Linked DNA regions of Diceros bicornis minor. The protein of the gene in region 1 purifies or fractionates together with the protein of each later gene. This does not show direct contact. Links are inferred from orthologs where the notes say so. Each region holds a gene or a part of one and is shown in the gene's direction. Other genes may lie near its edges.

What was found.
Region 2: the proteins of PSMB3 (region 1) and PSME1 purify together in Homo sapiens (affinity purification with mass spectrometry; 4 studies listed by BioGRID and IntAct, counting the BioPlex papers as one, with this or other methods). This does not show direct contact. The link is inferred for Diceros bicornis minor from reciprocal best matches to the Homo sapiens genes PSMB3 and PSME1.
Region 3: the proteins of PSMB3 (region 1) and FBXO7 purify together in Homo sapiens (affinity purification with mass spectrometry; 4 studies listed by BioGRID and IntAct, counting the BioPlex papers as one, with this or other methods). This does not show direct contact. The link is inferred for Diceros bicornis minor from reciprocal best matches to the Homo sapiens genes PSMB3 and FBXO7.
Region 4: the proteins of PSMB3 (region 1) and PSME4 purify together in Homo sapiens (affinity purification with mass spectrometry; 3 studies listed by BioGRID and IntAct, counting the BioPlex papers as one, with this or other methods). This does not show direct contact. The link is inferred for Diceros bicornis minor from reciprocal best matches to the Homo sapiens genes PSMB3 and PSME4.

Annotation. Positions count from the first base shown.
Region 1 is NC_080757.1:38,680,423-38,688,403, forward strand, and holds the start of PSMB3 (proteasome subunit beta type-3), read left to right. Parts: upstream 1-4,969; 5' UTR 4,970-5,072; coding exon 5,073-5,075; intron 5,076-5,402; coding exon 5,403-5,587; intron 5,588-7,981. UniProt on the Homo sapiens protein: Non-catalytic component of the 20S core proteasome complex involved in the proteolytic degradation of most intracellular proteins. This complex plays numerous essential roles within the cell by associating with different regulatory particles.
Region 2 is NC_080744.1:23,863,585-23,871,557, reverse strand, and holds PSME1 (proteasome activator complex subunit 1), read left to right. Parts: upstream 1-4,961; 5' UTR 4,962-5,121; coding exon 5,122-5,160; intron 5,161-5,755; coding exon 5,756-5,788; intron 5,789-5,915; coding exon 5,916-5,978; intron 5,979-6,096; coding exon 6,097-6,207; intron 6,208-6,294; coding exon 6,295-6,340; intron 6,341-6,460; coding exon 6,461-6,558; intron 6,559-6,804; coding exon 6,805-6,873; intron 6,874-6,955; coding exon 6,956-7,023; intron 7,024-7,129; coding exon 7,130-7,184; intron 7,185-7,259; coding exon 7,260-7,346; intron 7,347-7,518; coding exon 7,519-7,599; 3' UTR 7,600-7,740; downstream 7,741-7,973. Other genes in the region: FITM1 (fat storage-inducing transmembrane protein 1), read left to right, coding at 1,647-1,912, 2,303-2,915; EMC9 (ER membrane protein complex subunit 9), read right to left, coding at 7,798-7,973. UniProt on the Homo sapiens protein: Implicated in immunoproteasome assembly and required for efficient antigen processing. The PA28 activator complex enhances the generation of class I binding peptides by altering the cleavage pattern of the proteasome.
Region 3 is NC_080764.1:16,477,833-16,485,378, reverse strand, and holds the start of FBXO7 (F-box only protein 7), read left to right. Parts: upstream 1-4,539; 5' UTR 4,540-4,754; coding exon 4,755-4,876; intron 4,877-5,003; exon of another isoform or gene 5,004-5,035; coding exon of another isoform or gene 5,036-5,072; intron 5,073-5,108; exon of another isoform or gene 5,109-7,546. UniProt on the Homo sapiens protein: Substrate recognition component of a SCF (SKP1-CUL1-F-box protein) E3 ubiquitin-protein ligase complex which mediates the ubiquitination and subsequent proteasomal degradation of target proteins and plays a role in several biological processes such as cell cycle, cell proliferation, or maintenance of chromosome stability.
Region 4 is NC_080751.1:32,400,914-32,407,874, forward strand, and holds the start of PSME4 (proteasome activator complex subunit 4), read left to right. Parts: upstream 1-3,950; 5' UTR 3,951-3,952; coding exon 3,953-4,194; intron 4,195-6,952; exon of another isoform or gene 6,953-6,961. UniProt on the Homo sapiens protein: Associated component of the proteasome that specifically recognizes acetylated histones and promotes ATP- and ubiquitin-independent degradation of core histones during spermatogenesis and DNA damage response.

The DNA of each region.
Region 1 (7,981 bases):
CCCTGTGGCTGCCTCGGACCCTCCCCCTCGCTACCTCGGGAGCAGGTCTATGAGGGGGGCTGCGGCACAAAGAGGTAGTGGTCGAGGGAGACGCCAAATCGTTAAAAGGGGGAATCCACTTCGGCCATCTTGGAAGGGAGGAAAGGGAAAAGAGGAGAGAAAAAAGGGAGAAAGAAAGGCGGACGGGGCGAGCTACGAGAGGGGCTGGCGGGGGTGGGGCGGGGACGCGAGAAGCAGGCCCGGCTCGGAGCCTCCCCCTCCCACAGAGGTTTGCAAAGAAGGAAATACCGGCCCCCCATCCCGATGACCCAGATGGTTACGGGGTAGGAGAAGGAAAGGAAAGGGGCGTCCGCCTCCGCTTACCTGGGTTCGGGGTCCGGTGGGTCTCGGGGAGGGGGGGATGGGAGGGAGGGAGGGAAGGGAGGGGAGGGGGGCCGCAGCCGTGTCTCTCGCTCCGGCGGCGGGAGGGGAGAAACCTACGGTAAGAAAGGAGTTTGTGAAAGCGGCTTGGGGTGGGAGGGAGAGAGGGGAGGGGAGGGGACGGAGGGGGGAGGGGAGGGACCGGGGCTGCAGGGGGGAGACAAAATGGCTTTTTTCCTCCAGACAAGAGTAGGTCCCGCCCACTACTCACCCACGTGACCTCATTCCTTCAGGGTGTTTGCGGAGAGGGAAAGAGGAGGAGGGAGAGAGGCTAACGAGGCTGGGCCCCCGCCGGGGGCCCGGCCCCCAAAACTAGGACGCGACCTCACCCTTCCCCAAACAGCTCCTGACCCTGGAAGATGTATCGTCTTCTCTGTTACCCTCTGCAACTTACCCTTCCCCCCAAAAAATATGTGTGCTCCCCCCCCACCCTCTGACCCTGCGATTCCCGCCCCTAGCTGGGGCGCCTGGAAAATGGTGAGATGAGGACCGGGCTGAAATGTGGCTCGCCCTGCAGTCCTCCACGCCTCGGCCTCGACCAAAGGGCGCTGGGCTGGGGCGAGGGTGGCGACGCCTCCAGCCATGCGTCCGGGTTATTTTCATTCACTTCAAGTGACACTCCCTTAAAATTATTAACCGCATCGGTGAGAGCGTGTCCCCCACCCCCTTGCCCCTCTCAGGGGCCAGATCACTGGCTTTAAAACGCAGCACACCGGAACTCAGCCGGGTCGCCTCAGGGAGCAAACCGCCGGGGGACGGAGGGAGAGGCCTGGGGGGAGGTCTCTTGGGGGAGCTCGGTTTGCTGTGGTGGAGGTTGGCGCCCTCGGTGTGCTCGCGCGGAGCAAAATGGAACGCAGCCTCAGCCGGGAGTCAAGCTGAAGACGGGGACGCAGGCTCCGGGGCCGAGGCACAATAACTCGACCAAACTCGAGAGGCCCGCATGGACTACAAAACGAGGCACGGGGGCTCAAAAATGGGCCCGCGCTTTTTTTCCTGCCTTGCGCTGATTCCTGCATTTTGCGCCCGTGCGCTGACCGCGCTCCGCGCGGTTGGTGCGCCTCCCTCGCGGCGGCGGCGGGAGGAGCCGGGCGAGCGCAAAGGCGACTGGTGCCCGCCGACTCCGACCGTCGCTCCAGGTGCCTCCCGGTGCTCTGGCTCCTGTCCCCAGTGGCCCCGCCGGGAGGAGAACGAAGAGAGAGGCTTGGAAAAGCCGGGAGGAGCGGCTGAGGCTGGCGCTGGGGAAGCCAATCGATACTACGTTACGGCGACCACCGTGGGCCTCATTAGGACGGTCGAGTTGCTTATTTGAGATTTATTAGGGAGGGACACTGTCTGTCCCTCCAAAAAGCTCGATTATCCGGCCAGAAGCGCCATTAAGCGCACTGGCGGTGGGTGGTTCGAGTTAGGAAATTAGGAGACAAATCTTCCGCAAGCTTCGGAGCACCTGCCGCCTCCTCCTTCCTCCCTCCTTTCTCGAAGCCCCGGAGGACCCAAAGCTGGGCTCCCGGACTGAATGCTTTCACCCTTGGCCGGCGACCGGGAGACCTGCGGATACTGGCCGCCAAGTGACCCCAGCTTCAGCCTTCAGGCCACACCGGCTGAATGGGGGCGGGGAAGAAGAGGAAGGGCGGGAGAGATTTCCGCCCAAAGGGAGTTGTCTGAGAAGCCGCAGGAGAAGGGCCGGGGAAGGATCTGGTCACCTGCTCCCCTGTCCTTGCTCGCGGAGACCGGGAGTTCGCCGCTCCTCATGGAAAGGGGGCTCTTGGCGTGGGCACGCCCACTGTCCCTAAGGCAAGTGAGTCGCCGGCATCCTGGACTCTGCCAGGGAAGACTCGCGCCTCCTTCTCTGTCCCCCAATCGCCCTCCGGGGTGGGGAGCGCAGCAGGGACTCCTGGTCTGCCACGCCTTTCGGGCTAGAAGATCTCGGGCAAGAGAAACCTGTAGGGGCTTCGCGAAGATCTCGGTCCCACTCACAAGCCACAGGGGCACCCAGGGGCTGCCTGGGGGCAGAGGGGTAGGATATCAGCTAGTAGGAAGAGAGCTGACGTCCCTCTGAGTCCCAACTGCGGCCCCTTTAATCCTGGAGTGCTGCCGGAGGGGGCCACCGTGCTCACCGGGGGTCCGTTCACTTGTTCCTCAGACAGTTATTAAGCGCCAGCCACGAGCAAACCATAAGTCAGAAGGGGCATGCTGAAGACCCCACTACCCACTAAAACTTCATTTTAATCAACTCCATCCTGGGCGACCCGTCCTCACATCGCTGGCCTTTCTGGTTTATCAGGAGAACCTTCTGACCCAACCTTTTTCATATCTGAAGTTCTCTGGTTTCCCGGCAAAGAAGCACCTGTCATGTGCCAATGTCAAATCTGTGCTAGGCACGGAGGACATAAAGCTGATGAGCCCGGCTTTTGCCCTCAGGGTGCTCACAGGCCAGTGGGGGCAAACCCAGAGGGCTACACAGCCTGTCCCATTAGCTTCCATGGCACTGTGTATCCCTCCCATTTGCCCCCACCAGCCCTGTGAGCGCCCATTAAGCCTCTGTGAGCGAGGGGCAGGGCTTTCAGAAGAGGCCTCTGAGCCCAGTCTTGAGGGAGACCATATGTCAAAGGGAACTGCTTGAGGGCGTCCTTTGCTTAGCTCCTCTATAAAAGTGAAGGCTCCCACCCCTCACCCTGGGATGCGCCTCTGGCTGACAGTGGTGCCAATGCTTCCCCCTCGATTCTGTGTTAGTTGTAGTTCCACACAGTCCTCCAGCTGACACCTCTCATCAGAAGGGTCACTGTGTCTGACACAGGCTAGAAGCTTCCAGAGGGCAGGAACCCGAGTAATCTAGGTAATTATTTCCAGTACATACTGAGAGCTACTGCAAGGATAAGATCCCCTTGAAGGTGCTGACAGTGTGGGAGAGGGCGGCTCCGCTAGTGATTTTATGACTGTCTTGACCTTTGCGTCTTTTACTCCTCTCTCCCCAAAACAATATACTTTGTCAGTTTCTGCTTCTATTTCCCCATCCTCTTCCCCACTTCTGTGAATTTCTAGAAAAAAATTGTTTTGTTGTTGTTTTCCTTTTCCTGATGCTTCGCATATTAACTGCTTCCGTTTTCCCTCTCTCCATTTTCTCGGTGTCTTCCTTCCACTCACCGCGCCCATTTCTCTGTCACGTCCCCTCTCTGTATATCAAGCTGTGTTCTCCCTTTCTCATCTTTCTCTTTATCCCTCAGTTTGTTGCTGCCTTTGTCTCTCGCGGTATTTTCTTCCCTTCCAAATGTAATATTTTGAGATTGTAACATCGATTGAGGCAGACAATGGAAAACTGTCCAACCTCCACTGCAAATTCATTCTTAATCCTACGAAAAATGCAATCTGAAACCTATTGCACAATGAGACAAAAACCTCTGTCTGCTTTTCCTGCTTGGGGGCGGGGTGGGAGGTTAGGAGGTGAAGTGGTGGAGAAATTATCCCACCATTGACTGAACAATAGCGAGTTTTCAATCACAATGACCCTCTGATTTGCTATGGAAAAAATTGTTACCTCTGCCATTTCAATACAAAATTTGGCTTTTAAGTGGTTGGGAGAATAACACTTCAGTTTCCCTTTTTCCTCCCCTTTCTACTAAAAACGGGAGAGAAAGACAGCGTCCCTGGGTGGGCTCGAACCACCAACCTTTCGGTTAACAGCCGAACGCGCTAACCGATTGCGCCACAGAGACTGCGACAATCACCAGCGTGGCAGTGAGTCGAGTCAATAGGAGTGAGCCTGCGATGATGCAGAAGGCAGAACAGAAATTCTGCAATGGGCCGAAAGAAGCTCGACTCTGGAAAGAGAGGGAAGGGTCCCGATCAGGGGAGGGGAGGAGGCGGGACGCGCACGCCTCTCCCCCATTGGCTCTGGGAGAGATCGTCGCCGGCTTCCTCGGGGAAGGAAGATATGGGGAAGCCCGGAACGTCCCTTTTTAGGGTGACTTGAGACTTGGAGATAAGTAAAGTCCATCTGCTGAGAGTCCCCAAAAGCAGAACAACCTTCGGCCTCCAAACCTCCCCTCTGCAGCTGAACCCCTGCAGCTGCAGAATACCTGCGGCACCCTCCCCCGACCCCTCCACCTCTCAACATTAAATATGCACTTAATGGGCGCCTCCTAAATACCAGGCGCCGTTCTAGGCCTGTGAATGTCCAAAGCCTAGCACAGTGCCTGGCACACAACAGACGTAAGGATTTCTGGAATGAATAAGTGAAACAAGCTAGCGTGAGTAATACGCCCGACCCACACGACGTGTTCATAACCAACACCGTCAGGCTTCAGCTGGGACCACAGGCCCCTATCTCGGGCTCCACCGGCCCACGTGCGCGCACGTCCCCGCCCCTGTCTCTGGCCTCCTGAGTCCGGGTCCGCCACGATCCCAGCTCGCACCGCGAGGCCAGGCTCTTCCGCACTCACAGTGACTTTTCACTTTCCGCTGTCTCCGTTTTGGCTTCTCAACCAAACTCCTGATCTGATGACTGACAGAGATGCACAGCCAATAGGAAGCCAAAATGTGCCGGAAGGGTCGGCCTTTCAGCTACTAGAGAGAAAGCAACAGGAGTGGTTGCGCAGCGAGGGCCTTCGCCGGTTTGCTGAAGTTGTGGCGAGTGGAGGTCCCAGTACGCCGCAGTCATGGTGAGATGGGGAGCGGGGAGAAAGGACATGGGGTAGGGATTGAGGAACGGGCATGGGGTCATGGGACGTTTGGGGGGCGGAGAGGGCCTGGTGGTCGATGGAAGGAAGCGGCTCCAGTTTGAAGGGGAGCGAACCGCGGTGAGGACCCAGGGGGTGAATTCAGGTCCTCGCGGCTGCACCGCGCTCATGTCAGGGCTGGATTCGGGGCGTCCGGGCGCCTCCAGAGTGGAGGACGGTGCGTACAGGAGCCTCAGGATCAGGGGCTGCGCCGGGGGCTATGGTTGCGTTTGGCCCTCGCGCTGAGTACCTCCGCCCTGTCTGCCCCAGTCTATTATGTCCTATAACGGAGGGGCCGTCATGGCCATGAAGGGGAAGAACTGTGTGGCCATCGCTGCCGACAGGCGCTTCGGGATCCAGGCCCAGATGGTGACCACCGACTTCCAGAAGATCTTTCCCATGGGCGACCGGCTGTACATCGGCTTGGCCGGTCTCGCCACCGACGTCCAGACCGTGTAAGTGTTGGGGGTCCCCGCCCACACCCAGGCCCCTTCTTGGACAGCCTTGCTCGGCGTCTTGAGTGGCCTGGGTCAGTCATCTACCAGACGGCACCAGCGAACCTGAGACTTGCCGGACACCTTAAGCGATACAGAGTTGTATCCTAACCAACTTTTGCCAGCATTTACTCTGTGCCAGACTCGGTGGAAAGCACCTTACATGCACGGACTTATTTAATTCTCTTAACGACTTTACCATGTTGCTGTCCCATTTGCAGATGAGGAAATTGAGGGTCTCAGAGAGTGTCTTGCCAAGATGCAAGCTAATGAATGTCACCCAGGATCCCAGTGCAGGTCTCCCCGAGGTCAAAGTCTGTGCTCAGTCCCTAAAGAACTTCAGGTCTAGTTGAGAGACAAGGCAGGCATATATGGGAAAGATAACTGACTCTTGATGAGCTGGTGCATATTAACTGCTAGATTAGTTATCTAGTTGACAGTGTTTCTGTGATTTGAGAGGAGAGAGAGTCTGGGAGATGAAGCAGGTAACTGTTGTGATGGTCTAGGTGTGAGGGTTATGGTCCTAATGGGGTGGTAGTGGTGGGAAAGGAAAGGAAGGCATTTCTGAGAGTTGTTACTGACCAGCTGTAGTGGCTGCTTGGATATTGTGAGGCCAAAGAGCCATTCATGGAGGTCGAGGTCTGTGTCTGGTTTTTTTGTGTGTGTGTGAGGAAGATTGGCCCTGGGCTAACATCCGTGCCCATCTTCCTCTACTTTATCTGGGACGCCGCCTCAGCACGGCTTGACAAGCGGGCATCGCTGCGCCTTCGGGATCCGGTGCGCGTTTGGGATACGAACCTGTGAACCCCAGGCCTCCGAATCGGCGGAGTGTGTGCACTTAACCGCTAAGCCACCCGCTAAGCCACCGAGCCAGCCTCGGGACGTGGGGGGGGGGTGGAGTCGGGGTCTGGTGTGTGTGTGTGTTACTAGTAACTAGACTAGTACTTGGCATGTAGGCAATCTAGAAATGTTTTAAAGATGATTTCTGTTTTGAGCATGTTGACTGAAATATAGAAATTGGGAGGACTAGTTTTAGGAGAAAGGTGATGACTTTGATTCTGACACCAATTTTGAAGGAACAGGGCGAGCCAAGTAGAAACATCTTGGGTCTTGAAACTATATCTCAGGGCTGGAGAGGCATTGGTGATATGTTAAATCTATGGGAACAGATTCTGGAGAGACAAAATACATGGAGGGGAAAAAAATAAGCTGCAGTTTGAGAGCCAAACTGTGTATTTAGCAGTGAGGGAAGAAGAGAGGCCAGAGGAAAAAAATCAGGGTAGGGTTTCAAGAGGGAGGATATAGTCACAGATGGCAGGTTCTGCAGGACGCTGGTGGCCTTAGAGCAGCAGTGCCTGGACTTAGTTTTTAGGAGACTAGTTCACTCATGTGGGTGGAAGCTTGTCATAAAATTCTCTCTCTCATTTCCCTTAAAGCTCCCTAAGTCTCAAGAACGTAAAACTTGGAAATTCTTCCTGAGAGGTAACCCAGCCAGCTCTTTCTTTCCAGTCCTGGTGGAATCAGAGAACGATCGCTTAGGGTTCCTGTCCATGTGAAGGCCCCCAGCAGCCTCCCTCTCTCCTGTCCCTGCCGTTCTCCTCACACTACTTCCTTTTCTTCAGGAGGCTTTTTTCACCAAGTTTGCTTGTTTGTGGGCAGAAACAAGCCAGGCCTCGGTTTCCTCACCTTTAAGGTGAAGCTCAGGTTGTGTCTAAGGCCCTTTGTTCGGGTGTCCTGTGACTTGGGGCTTTGCTTCCAGCAGGTCTGGCATTGGTCTGCTCCTTGCAGGGGCCACTCCCTGGGCTCTGAGATGGCACTGGAGGAGATGTAGCCTTTTTTCTCAGGCACCTTCCAGTCCATTAGTGCAGCAGCTGCTGTTTGTTAACGCATAAGACTTTGCAGTGTTCTGAGCACCTTGTCATGCACCCATACATTTATCTCACCACCAGGTGATTGAGTGTGTCCCCATCTTATGGGTGGGAAAATTAAGTGAGATGTTGAAGGCCTAGCCCAGGTCAGCGCTCGGTCCACTGCCCTTTCTACTGTAAGCTGCCATGTCTGGGCCTGCAGGTAGACTCCCACTAAGACTGTAGAAGGAGCTGTGCGTTTTATTGTATATATGTTATTCCTCAAAAAAGAGGGGAAAAATCTACTTCTTAACTCCCTTTTTCTCCCTTCAAAAAAAAAAGTAAGGGAAAAAAGGTTAGCAGTGTGGCATGTTTACAGGTGACAGATGTTGGACAAGTCCTGAAAGTGGACGTGAGGCTGGACTTCTGGTGAGAAAATCACTGGGAGAGAGAGAGAGGAGTCTTGGCGCGGGCTGAGATTGTGTGTCTTCCGAAGTACCTCCTGACC
Region 2 (7,973 bases), on another chromosome or scaffold:
GCTTGACAAGCGGTGCGTCAGTGCGCGCCCGGGATCCAAACCTGCCAACCCTGGGCCGCCGCTGAAGTGGAGCGTGTGCACTTGACCACTAGGCCACCGGGCTGGCCCTTGTCACGTGTCTTTTAAATGGGTAATAGGTATATAGTCACTGTAGTGTTTAGATTCCATTGGATATATTTAAATGAGTATATAAATAGATTTATTTTTGAAATGTCAGTATATACAATACACTGGAAATCATGACCTTTGCAACTATTTAAAATTACAATGAAAAATTTTTTGTCAACTTAAAAATGTTTGAGGGGTTCTGTAGGTCTTCATGCGGAGGGGTCCATGACCAGGATCTATGCCGAGGGTTGGGCTTTAGGATCTGGAAGGAACCTGATGGGTTAATCCGTCTTGATCAGTTAGCACATGAGGCCACTGAGGACCAGGGAGGGTAAGTTGATTTTCCGAAAGTCACACAGTTGGGCCCAGAACCCAGGTGTCCTTGCTTGTTCATTCCTTTCACTACTTCCTGGACCTCCATTGTGCCCTGAAATCCCCCCACCAGTTTTGAGGATATGGGGAAGGAAGACAAAAAGGGATCTCAAAACAGTAACTGACTAGCAGGGACTTCCCTTGGGTGGGTTGCTCTCCTCCCTGTGGCTCCAGCCCCAGCGATCAGGCTGGAAGGCCAAGTCTTTTGTGTGGCTGAGACCCAGGGTAATTGGTTGGAGGACACAACCTAAGGTTTCCGTGGACCCCAGGCTGGGGATTTTCCTCCGCCCCCTGGGAGTAAACCTGATCTTTGGGGCTCTGAGAGTCCAGCCTCGGCCACCACCATCTCATACAGTACACCTCTCTCAGGACACTTGAATTTCATCTGTCGGCGATCATGATAAACATACCAAAGAATGGTCACCCTTTAGATCAGATGTCTTGTGCATTGCGCAACCACCTTGGTTTACACAGCAGCCCTGGGGCCAAACTAGCCCCTCAGACCAGACAGGAGCTGGGGCTGGGCCAAGTCCCTGAGGTCACAGTGCACTAAAACGGATACCGCTGCTGATAGGCCTCCCAGGCCTGAGTTGGACACAGTGCCATGCACAGCCATCTTGCTGCATCCTGCAGTGGTGGGCTCTTGGGCTCAGAACTCAGGAGATGGGCTAGACCACACTAATGATGAGGCAGACACAGATTTTTTTTAATGACTTCCACGGTTTAGTTAGTTTTATCTTCATGACCCCTGATTTCCTTGTGAAGCAAACACATGGTAAAGTTGAGGTGCAGTGGGGGTGACTTTGACCAAACAGAGAGGGAGATCCAAGCAGGCTGTGGACAAAGACAGCCTTGAACAGCAGGCTTGGCCCTGAAACATGAAGCTGGGGACACAGACCTAGAGGGTCAAGGGGACACAGGACTAACAGGAAAGGACACAGGCTGCTGTCAGGACACATACCCGAGGCTAGGACCCTGCTGACGTGGCAGCCCTCCACCCTGGCCCCTTACTGCCCCCCGCCCCTCTCCCCCGCCTGCCAGCTGCCAACAGGGCTCTGCCCTGTGTCTGCCACACCTGTCACTGCCTGTCCTTGTCCAGGGGGGGCCCCATCAGCCCCTCCTCAGCTGCCCAGCAGAGCAAGCGGTTAGTGGGGAGGGGAGGGAACATGGAGCGGGGGCCGGTGGTGGGGGCAGGGCCGGGGACCAGGGCCCGAATCCGGGCAGTGCTGGGCTGCCTGGTCCAGGTGCTGCTCTGGGTGGCCTCTGCTTTGCTGTACTTTGGAAGTGAACAAGCTGCTCGCCTCCTGGGCAGCCCCTGCTTGCGGCGCCTCTACCACGCCTGGTTGGCAGCAGTGGTCATCTTTGGGCCCCTTCTGCAGTTCCATGTCAACCCTCGGACTATCTTCGCCAGCCACGGCAACTTCTTCAACATGTGAGTCCATTCAAGGCCGTGGGCACCGGCTCCCTGCGCTCTGGGATCCCAGCTCCCTCCCGCAGGCTTCTGTCCTCCTGCCAGTCCAGACACTAAAAATAGGCTAGGAGGTTGAGGTAAAGGTCGGAGGAGGGGGAGGGGAACAATCGTTGGGGTACAGGGGAAGGCAGGAGTAGGGCTGAAGAGGAAATATGGACACTAGAAGGCTGAATGGGCCCCTAAGGAGATTGCAAAGTTTAAGTGGATGGGGGGGCAGGGTAAGATGGCACCGGAAACAGAGAACAAGTGATGATATGTAGGACTCGGGACAGACCTGTGATGGGAACGCAGATCAGGGTATGGAGAAGGGGCTGAGGGGTCTCAGCAGCTTCTCCTCTTCTCTGCCCACAGAAAGTTTGTGAATTCAGCCTGGGGCTGGACATGCACCTTCCTGGGGGGCTTCGTGTTGCTGGTGGTGTTCCTGGCTACAAGGCGTGTGACAGTGACTGCCCGGCACCTGAGCCGGCTGGTGGTGGGGGCAGCTGTGTGGCGGGGGGCCGGCAGGGCCTTCCTGCTCATTGAGGACCTGACAGGCTCCTGCTTCGAGCCTCTGCCCCAGGGCCTGCTGCTCCATGAGCTGCCTGACCGGCGCAGCTGCCTGGCGGCCGGCCACCAGTGGCGGGGCTACACGGTCTCCTCCCACACCTTCCTGCTCACCTTCTGCTGCCTGCTCATGGCCGAGGAAGCAGCCGTGTTCGCCAAGTACCTGGCCCACGGGCTGCCAGCCGGCGCACCCCTGCGCCTGGTCTTCCTGCTCAACGTGCTGCTGCTGGGCCTCTGGAACTTCTTGCTGCTCTGTACTGTCATCTACTTCCACCAGTACACTCACAAGGTGGTGGGTGCCGCCGTGGGCACCTTTGCCTGGTACCTCACCTACGGCAGCTGGTATCATCAGCCCTGGTCTCCAGGGAGCCCGGGCCACGGGCTCTTCCCTCGCCCCCACCCCAGCCGCAAGCACAACTGAAAGAAATAAAAGCACATCAGGCCTGGCTCTGGCTCCTCTCATCATTTGGCTGGGGGAACTTGGAAAGGGTGGGAAGGGTAAGAAGAGTCTGGTGGTCGCTGGGGCTCCTCAGCTATTCCTTGCTGTCATCGACTTGAATGTCCTTCCTTATGCTGGATTTCCATCCCCTCTGCTGCCCTTTCAGCCTCCTAGTCCTCGCACACTTCAAGCTATCTGGGGCTCTGATGCTCAGAACAGCACTGCCAGGGCAGGTAACAGTGCCCTTAGGTCGGGGCAGCATTCCAGCTGAGCAGGTGCTCCATCTCTAGCCTGCTTGATTCATTCTTCCTGCCTCCTCCACTGAGTCCGCCTTCCTCAGGGGCCTGTCTATCTGGGCACCCTACTCAGGGACCCTTCCTACCCTGTCTTCCCCATAGAGGGTCCAAGTGTGTCATTTATTTAACAGATGTTTATTGAGTCAAGCATAGTTCCATGCCTTGTGAATAAGAAAGACAAGGTTTCTCCTATTTGGAGGCTTATGGCTTAATGTGGGAGGCAGATAATAAACTCACAAATAATAGCAAACACCATTATTGTGCTCACTATGTGCCAAGCACTGTTCTAAGTGTCTAAGCTCTTCATATAAATTAATACATTTAGCCCTCACAACAACAACACTGTGAGGTAGGTTTGGTAGTGTTTCCATTGTACAGTCGTAAAAACTGAGCCACAGAGCTTAAGTAACGTTTTCACAGCTAGTGAATATCAGAGCCAGGATTATAAACCCAGGCGATATGGGTCCCTTGTCTGTGCTCTAAACCAGCGACCAGCAAACTACAGCCCTCCTGTGGCCACTTTTTGTATGACCTGTATAAAAAAATTTATGTTTTTAATGATTGAAAAAATCTAAGAACGATATTTCATGACACATGAAAACTACATGAAATTCAAATTTCAGTGTCCATAAATAAAGTTTTATTGGAACCTAGCCACGCTAGTTCATTTAGGTATAGCTGTTTGCCTGCTGCAATGGCAGAGTTGAATAGCTGCTACAGACACCATATGGGCCACAAAGCCTAAAATATTTCCTATCCGGCCTTTTACAGAAAAAGTTTCCAACCTCTGGTCTAAACCACACTCTTCTCAAAAAATAAACTGGCTAATACCAGAGAGAGAAGTGCTCTGAAGGTACTACACAGGCTGCTTTGTAATACAGAGACTTGGGGGGAGGTCCTTTATAAAGGATGATGGAGAGAGGTCTCTCTGAAGAGGTGATATTTGCCCTGAGAACCGAATGACAACAGGAGGCAGGGGAAGGGTGTGTCAGGCAAAGAGATCAGCAAGGGCAAAGGCCCTGAGGCTGGAATGAACTAGCAATGACAGGTTTAAGAAACAAACGGAAAGCCCCGGTATTTGCAAGTGTAATAAAGGAGAAAGCAGTGGAAAGTGAAGTTGAAGGGGACCAGCTGTCAGGCAGGCCTTACAGGCCTTACACGGCAGGGAAAGCCCTTTAGATTTCATTCTAAGGTCAACAAGAAGCTGAAAAAGTTTTAAGCAAGAGAAAGGCATGATCACGCGCTGTGTGGAGTGGGTTATAGAGGAGTGGAGTCCACAACAAGGGTCAGGAGAGAGCTGACTGGGGCCTGGGAGGGGTGGTGCCAGCGTCTGAATGTCACTGCATGGGCCAGACGATGCCCTGGAGCCAAAGGTCCACGCTGGCAGGGCTAGGGAAGGGCAGCCAGGTCTTGCTCCATCTCTGAGGAAAGATGGAAGAGCGCCAGATAAGGCTTATCGCCGTCCCAGGCTGAGCAGGGGAAGAAGAGAGCCCGTGGGGAGACAGGAGGCAGGGCGACGGGAGGCGGGGAGGCGGGAAGCGGAGTGTGGGGAGGCCAGGATGGAAGGAAGGCGAGAGAGGGGGAGGCCGGATGGGCGGAGGCAGTAGAGAGGCTGGAAGGGGGAGGTGTGAGGGGGAGGTGGGGCTTCGAGAGCGGGGCGGGGAATGGGCAGGGGGAGGCGGGCAGGTCGGCGAAAACGCGCCTCTCGGGCTCTAGGGGGAGCCCCGGCTGGGCGGCCCCTTTGCGCCTCTTCTCTCTCCGCCTGTCCCCGCCTCCTGCAGCACCTCCACTCCCCCTACCCAGGAAGGCGGTGCGGAGGGCTAGCGCTGCTTTCGCTTTCCCTTCCCCGTGCCCGCTCCGCTCCGCGCGGCGCCAGACCCCTCGCCCCGGCCATGGCCACGCTCAGGGTCCAGCCCGAAGCCCAAGCCAAGGTGAGCGCTGCGGGGTCGAGGGCGGGCCCATTAGGGAGGCGTGGCCCCGAAAGGCTGGAGGCATCCGCGACCCGCCCCCCCAGCCCCCTACTCGAGTCGGGGTCGCTCATCCGAGGCCACGTGAGCCTCGGTGGCCGGAGCACCTGAGCCCCGGGGAGGCCGGCGAGGTCCGCCTGCCGGGGGAGGCGAGGCGGCCGAGGTGAAGCGGGGCGAGGTGAAGCGGAGAGCTGGCGTGCAGGGGAAGTCCGCTGGCCCAGGGCCCGGCCCACACGCAGACGGGGTGCGGGACCTGCCCTGCCACCTCGTGGCCCTTCCCACGGGAGGGCCCCGGGGCCCACTCCACAGGGCACTCCATCCCTGCCCCAGTCGTAGAGACTCTCCTACGCCCCTCCTCACACAGCCCAGGAGACCCGAGGGATCTCTTCTCACTTGAACCACTTGCCCTTCCCCAGGAATGTCCTCATCCCCGAAATCCAGCCCCACGGGGATCCACTCCACCCGTCCCCAGGTCAGGCCCTACACAACCCTAATGGAACAGCCCTCAAATGAACTGGCCATAAAGCCAGGTGTCTAAAGGGCTGCGTGTGTCCCACAGGTGGATGTGTTCCGTGAAGACCTGTGTTCCAAGGTAAGACGTGCCCCATCAGACCCCACCTCTACCACCTCCCACTGCTAGCCTTTCCTGGCTTGCTTCCTTCCTAGGAAGGGCATTCGATTCTGACCCCTATCCTCCCCCACCCCCACCTCACACACAGACGGAGAACCTGCTCGGGAGCTATTTCCCCAAGAAGATTTCTGAGTTGGATGCATTTTTAAAGGTACTGGGGCCGGGCGGGGAGCTAGAGAGTAGGGGCCAAGGGGATAGTCTGGGAGGCCATGAAGTTAGGAGGTGAGTGGGATGCTCTTGCCTCCAGCCCTCCTCCCACCCTGCACCAGGAGCCAGCTCTCAATGAAGCCAACCTGAGCAATCTGAAGGCTCCCTTGGACATCCCAGTGCCTGATCCAGTCAAGGAGAAAGAGAAGGAGGAGCGGAAGAAACAGCAGGAGGCAAGCCGGGAAGAGCTGGGAGGAGGGCCCCAACAGTGGGGAAATCAGCCTTAAGCCTGACTCCCAAGAGCCCCTCTCCCCCTGCAGAAGGAAGACAAGAATGAAAAGAAGAAAGGGGACGATGAAGACAAAGGTATCACTATGGTGGGAAGGGACTTGAGTCTCACCACCCAGGAGCTCCTCCCTAAGGATTCCTCTTCCCTGCCCCTCAAACAGTCCCAGCCATGTGACTGACCCATTGCCCACTCCCTAGGTCCTCCCTGTGGCCCAGTGAACTGCAATGAGAAGATTGTGGTTCTCCTGCAGCGCCTAAAGCCTGAGATCAAGGATGTCATTGAGCAGCTCAACCTGGTGAGCCCTCCCACTTCCACCTCCAGGCTTCAGGCCAAACCCTTTGTCCTCCTTAGTCTCTGCCAGTTAGGGCATGGCACCTGGTAGGTCTTAGCAGGAGAGGGCACAGCAAGTGAAGCCAGAATTCCAGGCCCTTGGGCTCAGGATGGTCCTGGCGTACCTCCACCCACTGTGGGCAGGGAGGCAGAGGAACCTGGGAATTGGGTTGGCGGCTGATGTGGCTTTGATGCCATTCCCTCCTCCCAGGTCACCACTTGGTTGCAGCTGCAGATCCCTCGGATAGAGGATGGGAACAATTTTGGAGTGGCTGTCCAGGTGAGAGCAGTGACCCCCTCCTCTGCCTCCTTATCTCTAGTCCATGCTGCTTTCCACTTTCCCCCTTGCCTTCTTTCCCCAGGAGAAGGTGTTTGAGCTGATGACCGCCCTTCACACCAAGCTGGAAGGCTTCCACACGCAAATTTCCAAGTGAGTGACTGCCCACCTGCACCCGCATGCACACTCTGCCTCTGGCTTGGACAGAGGCCTGGGCTCCCTCCTCCTTCTCCACTCTGCACCCTTCTGCTTCCCACAGGTATTTCTCTGAGCGAGGCGATGCCGTGGCGAAAGCAGCCAAGCAGCCCCATGTGGTAGGTGAGGCCCAGGTCAGGGTGCATGGGGGGAAGGACACATTTGAAGTCAGGCTTGACCCGAGTCTCCCGCAGGGTGATTATCGGCAGCTGGTGCACGAGCTGGATGAGGCAGAGTACCGGGACATCCGGCTGATGGTCATGGAGATCCGCAATGCTTATGTGAGGAGGCGAGGGCAGGGGTGGGCAGAGGCAGCTTCCCCAGGCCACCCACTCCCTGACCCTGCAGGCTGGGGGTGAAGGGTGACAAAGCTCGGCCTCTCACAAGGCTAGAGATGGGGCACAGAGCCACTGAGGGCCTGCGGCTGACCCCCACTCCTCCCTGGCCCTGTAGGCTGTGTTATATGACATCATCCTGAAGAACTTCGAGAAGCTCAAGAAGCCCAGGGGAGAAACAAAGGGAATGATCTATTGAGAGCCTCCTCTCATTTCGTGATGGCTCCAGCAGCGACCTTCCTGTCTTTTACAGGGAACTCCAGACTTTCCCCCACCTTCCGCCTGTGGAGGTTTCTCCCTCACCTTGCCTCCCAGGCACAATAAATATCATCATACCGTTGCCCATCAGCCCAAGTCTCTTTATTGGATCCTGACCCTCCCACGCCCCGGCCCTGGTTCAGGTATTTCCATTGGTGGGACCAACCCACTGGGTGATTTGGGTGTTGAGCTGCTGGTTGGTCCAGTCCTGCCGGATGTCGTCAAGGTGGCAGTCAAAGTCCACAAGGTGCTGGTAGGCCCGGCCATCCAGGAGTGCTCCCACCATCTGCCGTGACTCTTCCCAGTCCCTCCACA
Region 3 (7,546 bases), on another chromosome or scaffold:
TACACAGGGGTATGGGTTAACAATTCTGAAACCACAATATATGTATACTGGAATTGAACAATTAGGCAAATGGATGGTGGATGGTGGGAGCCAGGTTTGTCACAGTTGGATTGGGAGGTTGCAGATAAGCAAGGGAGGAGGCAAGAATGATCTGTGTGGTAATGCATTAGAGTTGGAAACATCAAAATGGACTCATGCTTTGCTTAATACAGATACAGATGGTTATGTATATACACATAGATGTCTCCTCGCTCTGTCAGCTGAGAAGGCCTAGAAGCAACAATGCCCCAGCAGCCGTGAGCACACCTAGCGCCCAGATCTTGATTTCTAATACCATTCTCCAACAAAAGGAACTAGGGCTCCTTGGAAAAATGGCTGATTCTAGGGTTGAGGCAGGATATATACAAGATGATCCTGGAGCATCTTGTAGTGCCAGAAAGTGAGAAAGTGCTCAACAACAGAAAAAAAGAAAATGAATAAAAATCCATAACGATATCAAATGGATACAGGAGTCAACTGAAAGATCTCCCAATGGCCAAAGCTGGAAGAAGATGAGCAACAACAACAAAAAGTAGTAGTATTGGATTATAAACCAAAGTATAAAATAAGTGTCTATAAGTTCATACTGATATAAATGATTGAATAAATAGAAAATAGACAAATCTCCTGTGCAGAAGAAATTCAAATAATTTATGGAGATGCTGCACCTCTAAGGAGGGGGAGCATAACTCCTACTCTTTAAGTGTTGGCTACACACAGTGACTTTCTTCCAAAGGCTACAGAGTACGAAAAGGAGAAAAAAGGCGGAACTTAACAGTGGAGAAGCCAAGTGATGAGGTTAACACCAACAGCAAGAAGTCATACTGATAGTATGTACTGCTGATATGATGTGATGTGACGAGAATGGCGCATTACCTCTGTGGTATTCCTCCCACGAGCACATCGCTTCAGTCTAATCATGAGAAAATATCAGACAAATCCCAACTGAGGGACATTCTACAAAATCCCTGACCAGTCATCCTCAAAACTGTCTAGGTCATTAAAAAAAACCAAGAAAAGTCTAAGGAATTGTCACAACCAAGAGAAGCCTAGGGAGACATGCCGACTTAATGTAATATGGCATCCTGGATGGGATCCTGGAAAATAAAAAGGACATGAGGAAAAAACTGAGGAAATCTGAATAAAGTATGGGCTTTACTTAATAAAAATGTATCAATATTGGTTCATTAAGTGTGAGAAATTACATACTAATCTGAGATGTTAATAATAGGGAAAACAGGTATGTGGTAAACAGGAACTCTTTTCATAATAATTCTATAAATCTAAAACTGTTCTAAAATTAAAAGTTTATTAAAAAAAGCCTCAAGGGAGACAATGAACGGATACCCACAGAAAAGTGACATCATCCTTTTGTCGTACACTATGAAATGGCCCATTGAAAAAAAAAGGCAATTAAAATTTCCAAACTCTTTGAAAGTTGCAGTGCTTATTGCTTGCAGACATTAAGGTGACAGCCTGAAAAAAGGAAAAAAAAATTCTCAAGGAGGGAGATAGTTGAGACAACCGAGTATATAACATTCTCATGGACTTTTGAAGTTTTGGAGGATCATCCTCCAGAGTACCTTAAATCTTGGCAGTGTCTTGAGAATGCTCTAGTTGTCTTCCAGGACCCTCCTACCCTCCTGTGGTTGGATTACTTCTGCCATACCAGTGCTTACACCCTATTGGGCAAAGGGTTGCAACAAGGATCCCAGGTGAATTCGTTTTTTATTATTGTTGTAACAAATTACCACAAACTTAGTGGTTTAAAACAAAACAAAAGGTATTATCTCACTGAAGCTTTACAACATACTTGTCTGATATATTCTTGTTAGTATTTTCATTTTTATAGATAGTAACTTACCCAGGCTTACATAGTACTAAGAGGTGGACTGTGGTAGATGGTCTCCAAAGATGGCCACCATATTAGCCTTCCACTGTTTTCTCCACAAATGTTATTTCAGAGAGAAATAAACTCATATCTTGTTTAGGTCACTATTAGTTTAGGTCTCTGTTAGAACAGCTGAAGCTATATCCTAACTAATATGGTTCCAAATACAGCCATTTTCCAAGTTCTCTTAGTTTTACTTCTGTAACATTGTCCCTGCCCATCCTGTTGTCTCTATTCCCACTGTCATTCCACTAATTCCTTTTTCCTCTGTTACCAAAAAAGCCTCCTGAGCTGGTCTCTAATCCAGTGGTTCTCAAGGCAATTTTGCCTTCTAGGGGATATTTGGCAAAGGTTGAAGGCATCTTTGGTTCTCACAACCGAGAGGCGGGTTCTACTGGCATTTTGTGGCTAGAGACTAGAACTGCTGCTAAACATCCTACAAGGTACAGGATAGTCCTCCACTTCAAAGACTCATGAGGCCCCAAATGTCAATAGTGCTGAGGTTGAGAAACCCTTATCTAATTAATACATCCCCCCACACTCTGCCAGTGATATATTCACATTTCAGATCTGACCCACCTGCTTGTGGTATACACCTGTCAGGCTCACGGCTTTCTATCCTCTTTTGAACAGCATTCCTATATTTGGGGAAATTCCAATATTATAAGTCTCGCTTCCCCAAGGAAGGAGTTTGGACCCCAAATTCCAGTCTTCTTGGCAGCCAGGACTCAGGCATGGGTCTCCCTCAATCAGATGCATCCTTATGAGGCTTTGATTTAGAAGAGAGCAAGACGAGGAAATAGGCTCTTTTGGAAGCCTGGCATTTTGTCGGTGGAGGAGACCGCAAAAACGTGCGGCATTTGAAGGTGGAAGCCATTCCCCAGTGGTTCCTGGCAGCGGTGACAGCAGTTTCCTCCACTGTGGGGTGGGGTGTCAGCAGCAATCCCAGTCATGGTAGTTTCCTTATCAGGCCAGTTCTTCTGCGTGGTTCTGAGCTTCATTCCTGGAAGCTTAGCCTGGAGCCACTTCTCCAGTCCTCCCCAGAATACTCTGAGCTAGCCAGTATCCTTTTAATATGCTCCTTTTGTGCTTAGTCAGCCAGAGTCAGCCTCTAGCGCTCAGAACTAAGAACGCTGATAAAGATTCCTCTGCTTAAAACTCTCCAGTGGCTTCGCATACATTCTAGAATGTGTCCCAAATCCTTTGCTGAGCTCAAGGCTCTTGTTTATCTGAGATATACCCACTCTGTCCTTCACTCTGGCCACACTGAGCCACCCTGGTCCTGCCACCCTTCCTTGATCCCATATTGCTTGCCACTAAAGAACTCTATTGACACAGCAACTTTTCTCTATGTACCCTGATCCCCAGGACTGTTCTTATCTATATCATAAACAAGACACTTCTTACACTCTACTACAGGAGTTTACTCACTCAACTGTAAGCTCTGCATGGGAAGGAACATGTCTTTTCAGTCTTTGGGTTCTCAGCACCTAGGATAATATCTGGCACAAAGTAGGTGATTAGCACATTTCCTTACTGAATGAAAGCCAGGATGTGGGCAAGCACTGCCACCTACTGGAAGAAACTTTATTCAACTCTTTTATAAGGATTTGGACAATGGCTAGCATCCAAGGATGAAAGGTGATGACGCTCTCTCCCTCATCTAAGTCATCATCACCATTATTGTCAGACCCTCTGTGGTAGCCAGTCTCCTAGATGGTGCTCAATGACTCCTGTGTATTGGTATTCATGCCTCTGGGTTGATCCTCCCACACTGAAGGGTTGGTTTGTGATCAATAGAATATGACAGAAGTGATGGTGTGTGACTTCTGAGGCTAGATCATAAAAGACACTACGGATTCTGCCTTCCTCTCTCTGGGATTGCTTGCTCTGAGGGAAGCCAGATGTCACATCACGGGGACACTCAAGAGGTCCCTATGGGGAGGTCATGCAGTGAAAAACTGAGGCCTCCTGCCAACAGTCATGTGAGTGAGCCATCTTGGAAGCAGAATCGCCAGCAGGAGTCAAGACTTCAGATAACTGCAGCCTTGGCCTACATCTTGACTGTAGATGAGAGACCAAGACAGAACGACCCAGCCAAGCCATGCCGCAATTCCTGACCTATAGAACCTGTGGGACAATAAATGTTTGTTTTCAGCTGTTACGCTTTGGGGTGATTGTTATGCAGCAACAGATTACTGATATACTCTCCGACAGAGATCACTGACTACAAGCTGTTCTACCATTTTGCTACTGTCATAGGAGGAAACCACCAGAGCCTGGGCTCAACCTAAGGCCACGGAGGAAACGCGGTAAGAGCCAGGCACACCTGGGCCTTGCGGAGTGGCGAGCTGTACTGTCTCCAGCATCCCTCTCAGCGTTAACGCCCTCCAGGTACACCTGGAGGGAGCGGGCACAGCCACGGCGGCGGAACGACGGGGACACAGGCGAGCCGCGGCCCCTCGGCGCCTGCGCAGTGCGCCCCCGCGCTCCCAGGTGGCGCCGTTGCGCGCCGAGTCATCGATCGCAGTCCCCGAGCGGCCTGGCTCGGCGCAGCCGCCCGCCGCCCGCCAGCGGGGTGGGCTCCAGGGGGCGCCCTCAGGAGAGGGGCGGAGCGCTCCCGCGCCAGAGACCCGCTAGCAGGCCGGCCGCCGTAGTGTGGCCTTCTGCCGGTGACAGCTCAGCACCCCCACAGCTCCGGTAGTCGCCGCTTCGGGGTCGCCGCCGCCGCCTCTTGAGGCGGGAGCTGCCCGGCGGCGCCGTGGTCCCCGTCGCCGCCTCCAGGTCCAGGCCCCGGGGCCCTCCCGCTGCCGCCGCCGCCGCCATGAAGCTGCGGGTGCGGCTTCAGAAGCGGACCTGGCCGCTGGAGATGCCCGAAGCGGAGCCGACGCTGGGGCAGCTGCGCGCGCACCTGAGCCAGGCCCTGCTGCCCGCTTCGGGGTACAGGTGGGCGGCCGCGGCGGGGCCCCGGGGGAGGCGGGTGGCGCGGGCACTCCCCGGGCCGTCACGTGAGGCGGGCGGAGAGCGGGGCGTCGCGGGGCCGGGCCCGGGGACTGTGACGCGCAGGCCGGCGGGGAGCGGGCGCCGGGGGCGGCCCGCGGAGACATGGCCCGGCGGGCGGGGGGCTCCGTGCCCCTCCAGGGTGAGCCGTCCCTCCGCCTTTGCAGTCGAGGAACCCTGGGGTGGGCCAGGAGCACAGTTCTCGCGCCCTGTGCAACGTCCAGTTGGAGAGGACGCGCTTGGCTGGGTGAAACCTTGCCAGGCTCTCAGGGGTTTAAGTTAAGTTCACCCTCTCCAGCTGTCGGAGTATTTCAGTGGAAAAGTTTGGAAAGTGCTGGAAGGAGTTAGAAATCGGCCCTCCTTCCGAGGCCACCTGTAATTTGTACCGCTGTGAGGCTGCGATAATCCTAAAACTCGTGGGGTGTTGACTCACCCTTTGCGGAGTTTTAAGGTGTCGGCGGGTTTCAGATCTTTTAATTTTCCTGGGCGAGATGTTGCTTTTTTGCTGAAACTAAGATCAGTGTTGGCCTTAAGTGATGACCCTGGAGAGCTTGCAGTTTGGGGGCAATGACGTTGAGAAACAAAGCGTCAAATTCTGTTGTTCGTTTATGAGGCTGCAGATGAGGCTGCTTTGTTTCCACCGAGGGCATTTTCTGGGGACAATAATCTGGGAGTAGAGGACTGTTAATAATAACCTTGGGAGTAGAAGTTAGACCGTCCAAAAGTAAGGATGGTCCTCTTCAAATATTCAGCTATCGAATTTGAAATTTGTGCTGAAAAAAATGAAAAAAAAGTTCACTGGGGCTGTTTAGGTGAATTTTTCAATGGAAAACCTCTCTGTTAATTGGCTCTTTTTATAAACTTTATTTTTAGGGAATTCAGTAAAATGATGCCATATTATGAACTCACCCTTTCGTTTTTCAGGTTAAGGCACTATTACGTTAAAAGTAAGCCTGTTTTTCTCTAAATTAAAAAATAAAAACAGAAAATAATGTATTGACGTAACTCCTTTTAAACATTATATTAAGTGACCTGCCTATTGTTATTTCGTTGTGTGAAAGCTAAGTGTTTTGCATGCGGGCGTCCGTTACTCCACCACAAATTTTCAAAATTCTCTTTTTAAAGTATTTTCATATATATATGTGTATATATTTTATTATTATTATTTTTTAATTAGGCGAGGCAGTGTTGAAAGGATGTGAAACCCAATATGACTCTTTGTTTACCCAAGAGCTCAAGTTAGTTTCTCTTTCAGGTTTGTTTTTACGGTGGAGAATGGTTAACTGGAAGGAATGTAAGCTTCAGCTTGTGAAAGTAAATTCATTTCTCTGAAAATATGTTCATTTTAGAATAAATTGGCAGTTTTAAAATGTGTTTATATGACATTATTATTTTTCGAGTGTCTTTGCTGAGCAAGTGGATCTGGGATAGCCATAAAATATTGTTAAAAGTCTTGAAATTTCTAGGATACTTTTCCCGATGAACTTTTTTCACTATTTCAGAAAACAGAATCATTTTTTAACCCCTTTCCTGGAAAACCATATATTACTTTAGAAATAGCCCTTCCTTTTTTCTAAAGGGGGAGGGAAGGCCGACGTTTTTATTAAGCAGACAATTCTTTGTGTTTTCTATAAGTTAGATATTTGAACGAACATTGTACTGGATACCATTAAAAAGAACCTTTTGCTTTGACAGATGATCCATAAACACATAGTTCATTTGAGGTGTCTTTCTTTTTTTCTCCCGAAGTTGGGATGGTGTTTTTCTGGGCAGCTGGCAGATTTTCAACACTTATCAAAGCATTTGAAGACAGAAGCATAGCTACTTATTTTCTAATAAGCAGGAGTATTTTCTAAAACTTTAGTAATTTCTCTATCCAAAGACACTTTAGTTGGTAAGACAAAACGTATTTACATGTGAGAGAAAAACATAAATGAATTATTTCGAGCACTTTTGAAAATGCAGCATTGTAAGAGAGAATAAACAGAATATTATTTTCAAAGGACTCGTCCTTTGTTAACCTCTCAAAAAGTTAATGAAGTCAGCATTGCTGAGTATAAATGTCCTATAAAATGTTCTACAGTGGTTTGTTAATTAATCCTCACTGCTATGTGATGAAATGATGGTTATTTTTTCAAGCTCAGATGATCTGTGATGCAGAAGGGATGGGAGTTCATTGCTTCAGGCTAATTTGAGCTCTTAGCTTGTTTAGCAATGGGTTTTTGGATTTGTGCTGTCTTCCATAAAAAAGACATCATAACTGACCGTCAGTAAGAAGGGTGAACTTGAACCTGTCCGTAGGAGGGATGAGTTTGTCCTCAGTCGTCTACATATACTCATCTAACTCTTTGTGATTATGAATATTCATTGAGGACATGGGTCTAGTATTTTGGAACCAACGTAAGCTAACTGTCCTGTAAGGACATCGAATAGGTAGCCCTGATTTCAGTCTCATCTTGATCTTCCCAGCTAATGTTTGTTGGTTGCATTTATTCCACAAATACTTTTATTTGCCAAGTGCTGGAGATAGAGTTTTGAACTAGACAGACGAGATACCTGGTCTTATGAAACTTAAGTTCTAATGGTGAGCGTGGGGAAGAGAGAAGATAAACAAAT
Region 4 (6,961 bases), on another chromosome or scaffold:
GTGTTTTCTATTAAACTTCATATAGAATAACAGAAACAAACTTCATGTCTTTTGCTTAATAATTCTTTTGACATTTCCGGTCCAGACATCCACTCCCAGGAGAGTTGACATCACCTGGAACTGCTTCTTTGAAATCTGAATCCAAACATTCCTGTTCTTCCAGGTCCCTTGCTCAGGCTAATCCTTTCATATTGTCCTTGTACTTAACAGGATCTGAGTCTCTTAACCCTTCTACTCTGCTTATCAGCCCTCTTTTCTCTTCACTTAGACTTCAACTAACTTAGTTGTTAACTACTTTCTTTCAAATACTCTCAAGTCAATTATCTCTATTTAGAGAAGAGAATTCAATGAGATAATGTAGGTAAAGCAGCGGCAGAGAGAAGTGCTCAGCAAATGGTAGCCAACACCGCTTCTATCACTACCAATAACATACATAACATTCTCTTGTTCCTTTGTCATTCTATCATACCAGCCTGTATGTCATACAATCCTCGGCTGCTAATTATTGAAGAAAATCACTAAATTGCCCACGGACGACAGTAAATTCATGCTTCCAGCCTTAACTGCCAAGCAATTTCTACTGTTTCTCTCATCAGTCTTCTGAAATTTGAGACTACTCTAAAACTTCTCCAATCTCCTTAAATCTCCTACCCATCTCTTCCTCCCTTCATTCTCATTCTCTTGCTTCACAGAAAAAAAAGAAACCGTCAGAAAGAACTTCTCCAACTTCCAGCCACTAAATCCTCCAACCTTTCTTCAATTGCACCTATCCTCCCCTGCTTCCCTCCTCTGACAATGGAAGCACAGTCTGGTTTACTGCTAAGGGCCAATGACTCCACATTCCCTCCCACTCACTGTCATCCTCACCCACATTATCTTTAATCTCTCTCTTCATTGGCTCCTTCTCATCAATATTTAAACATATTTAAATATATCCCACCTTCAAAAGTTCTTTTTATGCCAGCTACCTCATCTCTCTTGTGTTCCTCCCACTCAAACTTTTAAAAAAGGTTGTCCACATTAGCTGCCTCTATTTATTTACTTCCCATTCATCCTTTGTCATTGTAATCTGGTTTCCATTACCACACTCCACTGAAACTGTTCTTATCTGCTTTATCAATAACTCCAATAACTCCTTCTCAAGTTTCCTTTCATTTGACCTGTCAGCCACCTTTGGTACATTGATCACTTTCTCCATGTGAAACACTGTTTTTAGGAATGCTCCCTTTCCTAGAACTCCTCCTACCTTTCTGACTGCTTCTTGTGAGTATCCTTTGGGGTCTCGCTCCTCTTTCTCTGTCCATCCTTAAATATACAGTTCCTCAGAGTGTGGTCAAGGACCCTGTTCTTTTCATACTGTGAAATTAATTAAACAAGAAGGCCATTAGACTGAGATGGCTCTAATGCCTTGGCAGTCTACGTAAACAAACCAAAATCTAAGCCTATGAATGCCTCAAGATTACAAAATCTAAATGCTAAGAACAACAAATCACAAATACCAACTGGCTTTAAGCTATAGCCAATCAAATACAGTCATGTGCATGACACGACCTTAGAGTCAACGAGAGACTGCATATTTGACAGTGGTCCCATAAGACTATGCTGACCGACAAAAAATCACTACTGTTTAAACAGCAGATATTTATTTGAGCAATTAGAATTGCAATTAGGGAGGCACAGATTCAGGTAGAAACCCAAAACGTGTTCTGATTACAGGAGAGGGTCTTAAGGTTTTTATGGGAAAAAGGGAGGATGAGGTGAGCTGTTTTAAAGAAGAGTTCATTGGTGCTAGACGAGGTAAGGCTAAGTTTGTACTTCATTGATTCGCTTAAGATTTGGTCATCAGGCAAAAGGCTAAAACTTGTACTTCACTGATTGGTTAGCAATTCGGTCACCAGCAAAGTCCAGTTTTATCAGTCCTTACAAACAGTATATTCTTGTCCTTACTGATTTCTTGGATTGTCGGTGGTTTGGTCCAGTTTGGAAGATAAAGAAAATAAGACGTGCAAGGAAATTCCTCTGAAACAGCTACTCTGGATCTATTTTAATATGGCTCCACTCATGTCATCCTCCACAATTAGTACCATATAGCCTAGTGTGTAGTAGGCTATACCATTAGGTTTGTATACATACATTCTGCGATGTTCACACAATGATGAAATGACCTAACGACGCATTTCTCAGAATGTATCCCCGTCATTAAGCAACACGAGTATAATTTCCTTTCCTGGCTGCCACATCTCCTCTAGCATATGCCCTTCCCCTGGCTCCTGTTGGCACTCTTAACTGCATCTGGTTTGGCCCTGCCCAATTCCAATCGACTTCTGCTCAAACACTCTTAAAATTTTTAATATGCCTCAGTTTATCTTCTAGCAATACTCTATATATCTCATTCCCTCCAATCCACCAATACGCTAATCTATATCCCAGTTTAGATCACCCCCTTGATCCATACATCAAAATACTTACGCATCCATTACGCATTCTGTCTCCAAAGCTGTTTCTGCCATGTTCTCTCAGTGAAGGGCTTCACTACCTAACGGGCTTTCCAAACCAGAAATCTGACATCATCCCGTTTCTTCTCTCTCTCTCTCACTCTTTATATACAATCAACTTCCAAGCCTAGGCCATTGTACTTGCTGAAGTAGCTCTCAAATCATTTCAGCTGACATCCAGGCCATCATTATGTCATATTTCTTAAGGGGTCCTTTAGGTACCAATCTTGTCTGTTCTAATCCACTCTCCATACAAAGCCAGAGTGATTTTTCAAAAATGTAAATTGCATGGTGCCACTCCTATGCTCAACATCTTTCAATTTCTTGTTGCCTTTAGCATAAAGCTTTAAAAACTCCCTAGCATTTCCTTCTCAGTCTCAATTTTCCACTCCCCTTTTGCAAGCAATCTTCAGCCATTCTGAACTTCTCTGAATTCCTAGACGGCACGCTTGCAGCCTCTGAGCTGTTCCCTCAGCTGAAATACACCGTCTCTTCCCTTCTTTTTCTAACCAACCCTTAAGCTCAACTATCTGTATCACTTTCAGGAAACTTCCTGACCCCCCTCCAGTTTGAACTCCGCTTTAGGTGTTCCCAAGGCATCATGTACTTAACTAGCAATTAAGAGTATTGTCTTGTAATTACTTATTCCCTAGTCTACAGCTCCGCTTGACTTTAAGTCCCTGGAGGACAGAAACCAGGTGCTCTTAAACTTTCCATCTCAAGTACCTAAAAGTAGCGGCTGACACACAAAATAGTAGTTCAATTAATATTTGTTGAACGAATAACTATTCCTTTTTGGAAAGAGGGCGGTCAGGAGAATACCAGAAAGACGAGGGCTCAAAGCGGACAGAGTAAAAAAATCTATACGTAACGAATGGCATGGATACAGAGTACCTAGGTTATCCCACAAACTCGGCCTGCGGGGTCTAGGCCCACTGCCTCGCCCCAGGCCACGGCGACTACGGGCCCTGGAGAGCAGGCGCAGGGGTCACACGACCCCAGGTAAGGAAGGACAATCGCTTGGAATTCGGCCTCGTGCTTCCGGTGGGGCAGCATCGCGCCTGGCCGGTGAGGCCCGCGGGTTGGGGCTCCGAGCCTGCCCCACGGCGAGGAAGGCGCGGCCCCCGGAGCTCCCGTCGTCGCCGCCGCCTCCTCCGACGCCGTCGCCCCGCCCCGGAAGTGACTTGAGGCCCGTCCGGAACCTCGGGCCCGGCGGCTGCAGCGTCACCAGCGGAGCCGGTGCGGGGCGGGCGGAGCGGCCGCTGCCGCAGCCAACGAACCAGGCACCGCGCGGGGCCAGCAGCGCGCCGGCCAGGGGAGGGGATCCGGCGGTCGGGCCGAGGACGACGGGCCGCCGGCGGCCGCGGGGCGACGACGACGCGGAGGAGGCGGAGCCCGGAGAGGGGTGGGGGCCGGGGAGGGCTAGGGTGGGAGGGTGGGGGGGTGTCCCTGGGCTCATGGAGCCGGCCGAGCGGGCAGGCGGCCGGGATCCCCCGGAGCCGGGCGGGCGTCCCGGGCCGGAGCCGCGGGGCTTCGTCCCGCAGAAGGAGATCGTCTACAACAAGCTGCTGCCCTACGCCGAGCGGCTGGACGCCGAGTCCGACTTGCAGCTGGCCCAGATCAAATGCAACCTGGGCCGGGCCGTGCAGCTCCAAGAGCTGTGGCCCGGGGGCCTCTTCTGGACCAGGAAACTCTCCACGTAAGTGTGCCCGGGCCTCAGGATGGGCCCGGGGCAGAGGCTCACAGGAGGACGTCGGGGGTGGGGGACGGCTCTTTGTCCCACTGGACCGCAGGACCCTTACCTCTGCCCCGGCTCGAGCCGGTGGTCCCCGTGCAGTCGTCTCAGGGTCACGGCAGAAGCCTTGGAAGCACTTAGACCTCCTCCCTGCCACTTTCCTACGGAACCTCCCCGGTCCTCACCAGCCCTCAGTGTCCTCCCCTGCTTTTTCTCCCCAAGGATTCAGGTTGTTTTCCGACCTGCGGGGCCCCCAGGGAAAGAGATGAGCGGTCCCCCAAGGGGGCTCCTTGGACCTTTGCCCGTGGGGGAGGGGAGGCACAGAGGATTCGTCTTTGAGGGGAGCAACTCTTGACTTCTGGTGCTTCCTCCGGTTCTTTCCTCCCCTACGGTCCCCGCCTCTTCCTATCCCTCAATTGGCCTCTGGTAACTTTCTGAATGGGAAAGAGGCCGTCGGGAACTTCTAGGTTCTGCTTTTTTGGGGCCTGCTCAGTCTTTGTGGATTTGATTGAAAAGATTGATTTAAGATCCGACTTCAGCGCATTCTTGGACTGTTCACTAGACGTTAATGTTGAGAATGTTGAGTTTTAGAACCTCGGCAAAATGTATATTGCTCCTGTTGTGACATTTCGTTTGGAAACGTACAGCGTTAAGGAAAAGAGGAGAGCTGTCAGGTTGTCCTGGGTGTTATTTGTATCGGGCTTGTGTTAATTTTTGAGTCGCTCAGATAAATATAGATTACGTAAATCAGTTTCAAGGATTCTATTCTTTTTTTATTACTTTTTTTTTGTATAAACTAGCTGCAAACTGTAGTGCCACTGAAATTAGGGGGAAAGGGCGAGTAAAAATACAGCTGGGTGGGAGGGAAGATTTTAGAGACTTTTTGCTAGGTGGGAATCTTCATTGTGTCAGAAGAACTTTTTTAAAAAAAGATTTTGTTGTATCTTGTATGGTTAACTGTACATAAAATCTGGTAACATTGTATGTTCATGCATGTGGGTATGGGTGGGTGAACACGTAAGACATAAGTCACTTATCCAGTGTTTACCCAAATCTGCTGAGTGAACTGGGTGATGACTCAGGGTTTTGTAACGCAATAGTCTTCTCCACATTTCCTCACAGGATGATTCTTATCTGCCGTTTATGAAGGAGTCTCTGACAGGTTTCTCATCTCCATTTGGTGGTGGTGGTGGGAATAATAATTGCTTTTTAATTAATAAAGCAGAACTCAAACACGTAATTTGCCCTTTTCAAAGAGTGACCATAAAATGTCAAGGTTAATGGCCCTCTTGATTTGAATGTATAGAAGTTTGTGGTGTTGGGATCCATAGGAGACTTGGGAAGAAAAGAAATGCAACAGGGATAAGAACCACTTTTAGTCAAAACAGAAAAATGTTTTATAAATGATTAAAATTCAAATGATTTTTTAAGTGAGCCTCCTAGGTGTGTTTGTGTTACTCGGGCACAGTAAAAATAAAGTTACTTTGTCATTCCAGTAATTCCCCATTTTTATCACCTGGATTCGACTTGCTAGAGAATAACCATTTGCGGGGGGACATAAGCAGTTCCTTTTAGATGCACAGTGTATAAATGTACCAGTGTGTGAATGCATATCTAGATTGGATTTAGGAATCTAGAGTCTACACAGGTATAGGTAAGCATTGTTTTCTGACATATTTATTGTTACTTACTAAGTTTCGCGGAGTAGCACCTAGAGTTTTATTATTTTTGGTTTATTATGTATAAGTAGTTTTTACCTAGAAAGGGCTAAAAATACAGTGGCGACGGTCTGTGGTGTTTAGGGCAAGACTGCAGTTATGTGGCTTAATAATCTAGGAATCCCAAACCATTTATATCTAAATAACCAGCAAGAAATGCTGTGAGATAGAATTTTATTTTGGAACAGTGGTTAAATGCTGCAGACTGATTCTTGGGATTGCGCTATGAGACATTTTGAACTTGGTGGGACATGTTGTGATCTTGGATGTATTTTTTCTCCTAAGTCATGTTAAGGTGACCTGTTTATAGATGTGCTTGTTTTTTAAGCCTTGTGTGTGGTTGCACAAGTTTACATCTAAATGATGCCAAAACATGTGATGATAGCTTTCAGTTACCTGAGTAGTGATCATATTGAGTACTTTGTAGAAGAATGGAAAGTAGTAATGAAAATCTAATTGCTGCCACTAGCTCTGTGACTGTGGGAAAGTTACTTTAATCGTGTATTTCAGAATTCTTGTGGGTGAAACGATGGGGTTGGATTAAGTAATTCTTGAGAAACATTCCTGCTCTGATATTTTATGATTTTATTTTTTATCTTGTAGAGCCTCAAGCCAGTGTGTGTCTTTCTACAAGGATTGTTTGAGGACTTTGTAAAGTATTGGAAATTGTTGCATAAATCAAATACATTCCTAAAGAAGACCAGAGTGTAGATGCTATTTAGAGGCACTGGGACTGGATCCCCTAATCTGGGTGTCATGGGTCTGTGTATCGTCAAGTTCTAGTTTGGGAGGTACTCAGACGCCCCTTTTTTGAGTTTTACGTAATTTTAGTAGTTATTGTAATTCTGTTTCAATCCATTTCAAGACTTGCAGGTGTGTTTAGCATTTCTGTGAAGAAAGGTTAGTTCTTTGAATTTTAAAAATTGGCCTTGTGGTGTAATACAAGCTCTTTTGTACAGACAGTTTAAAGTATTAGGACTGCCTGTTCAAGAGAGATTGTGTGATGTAATACA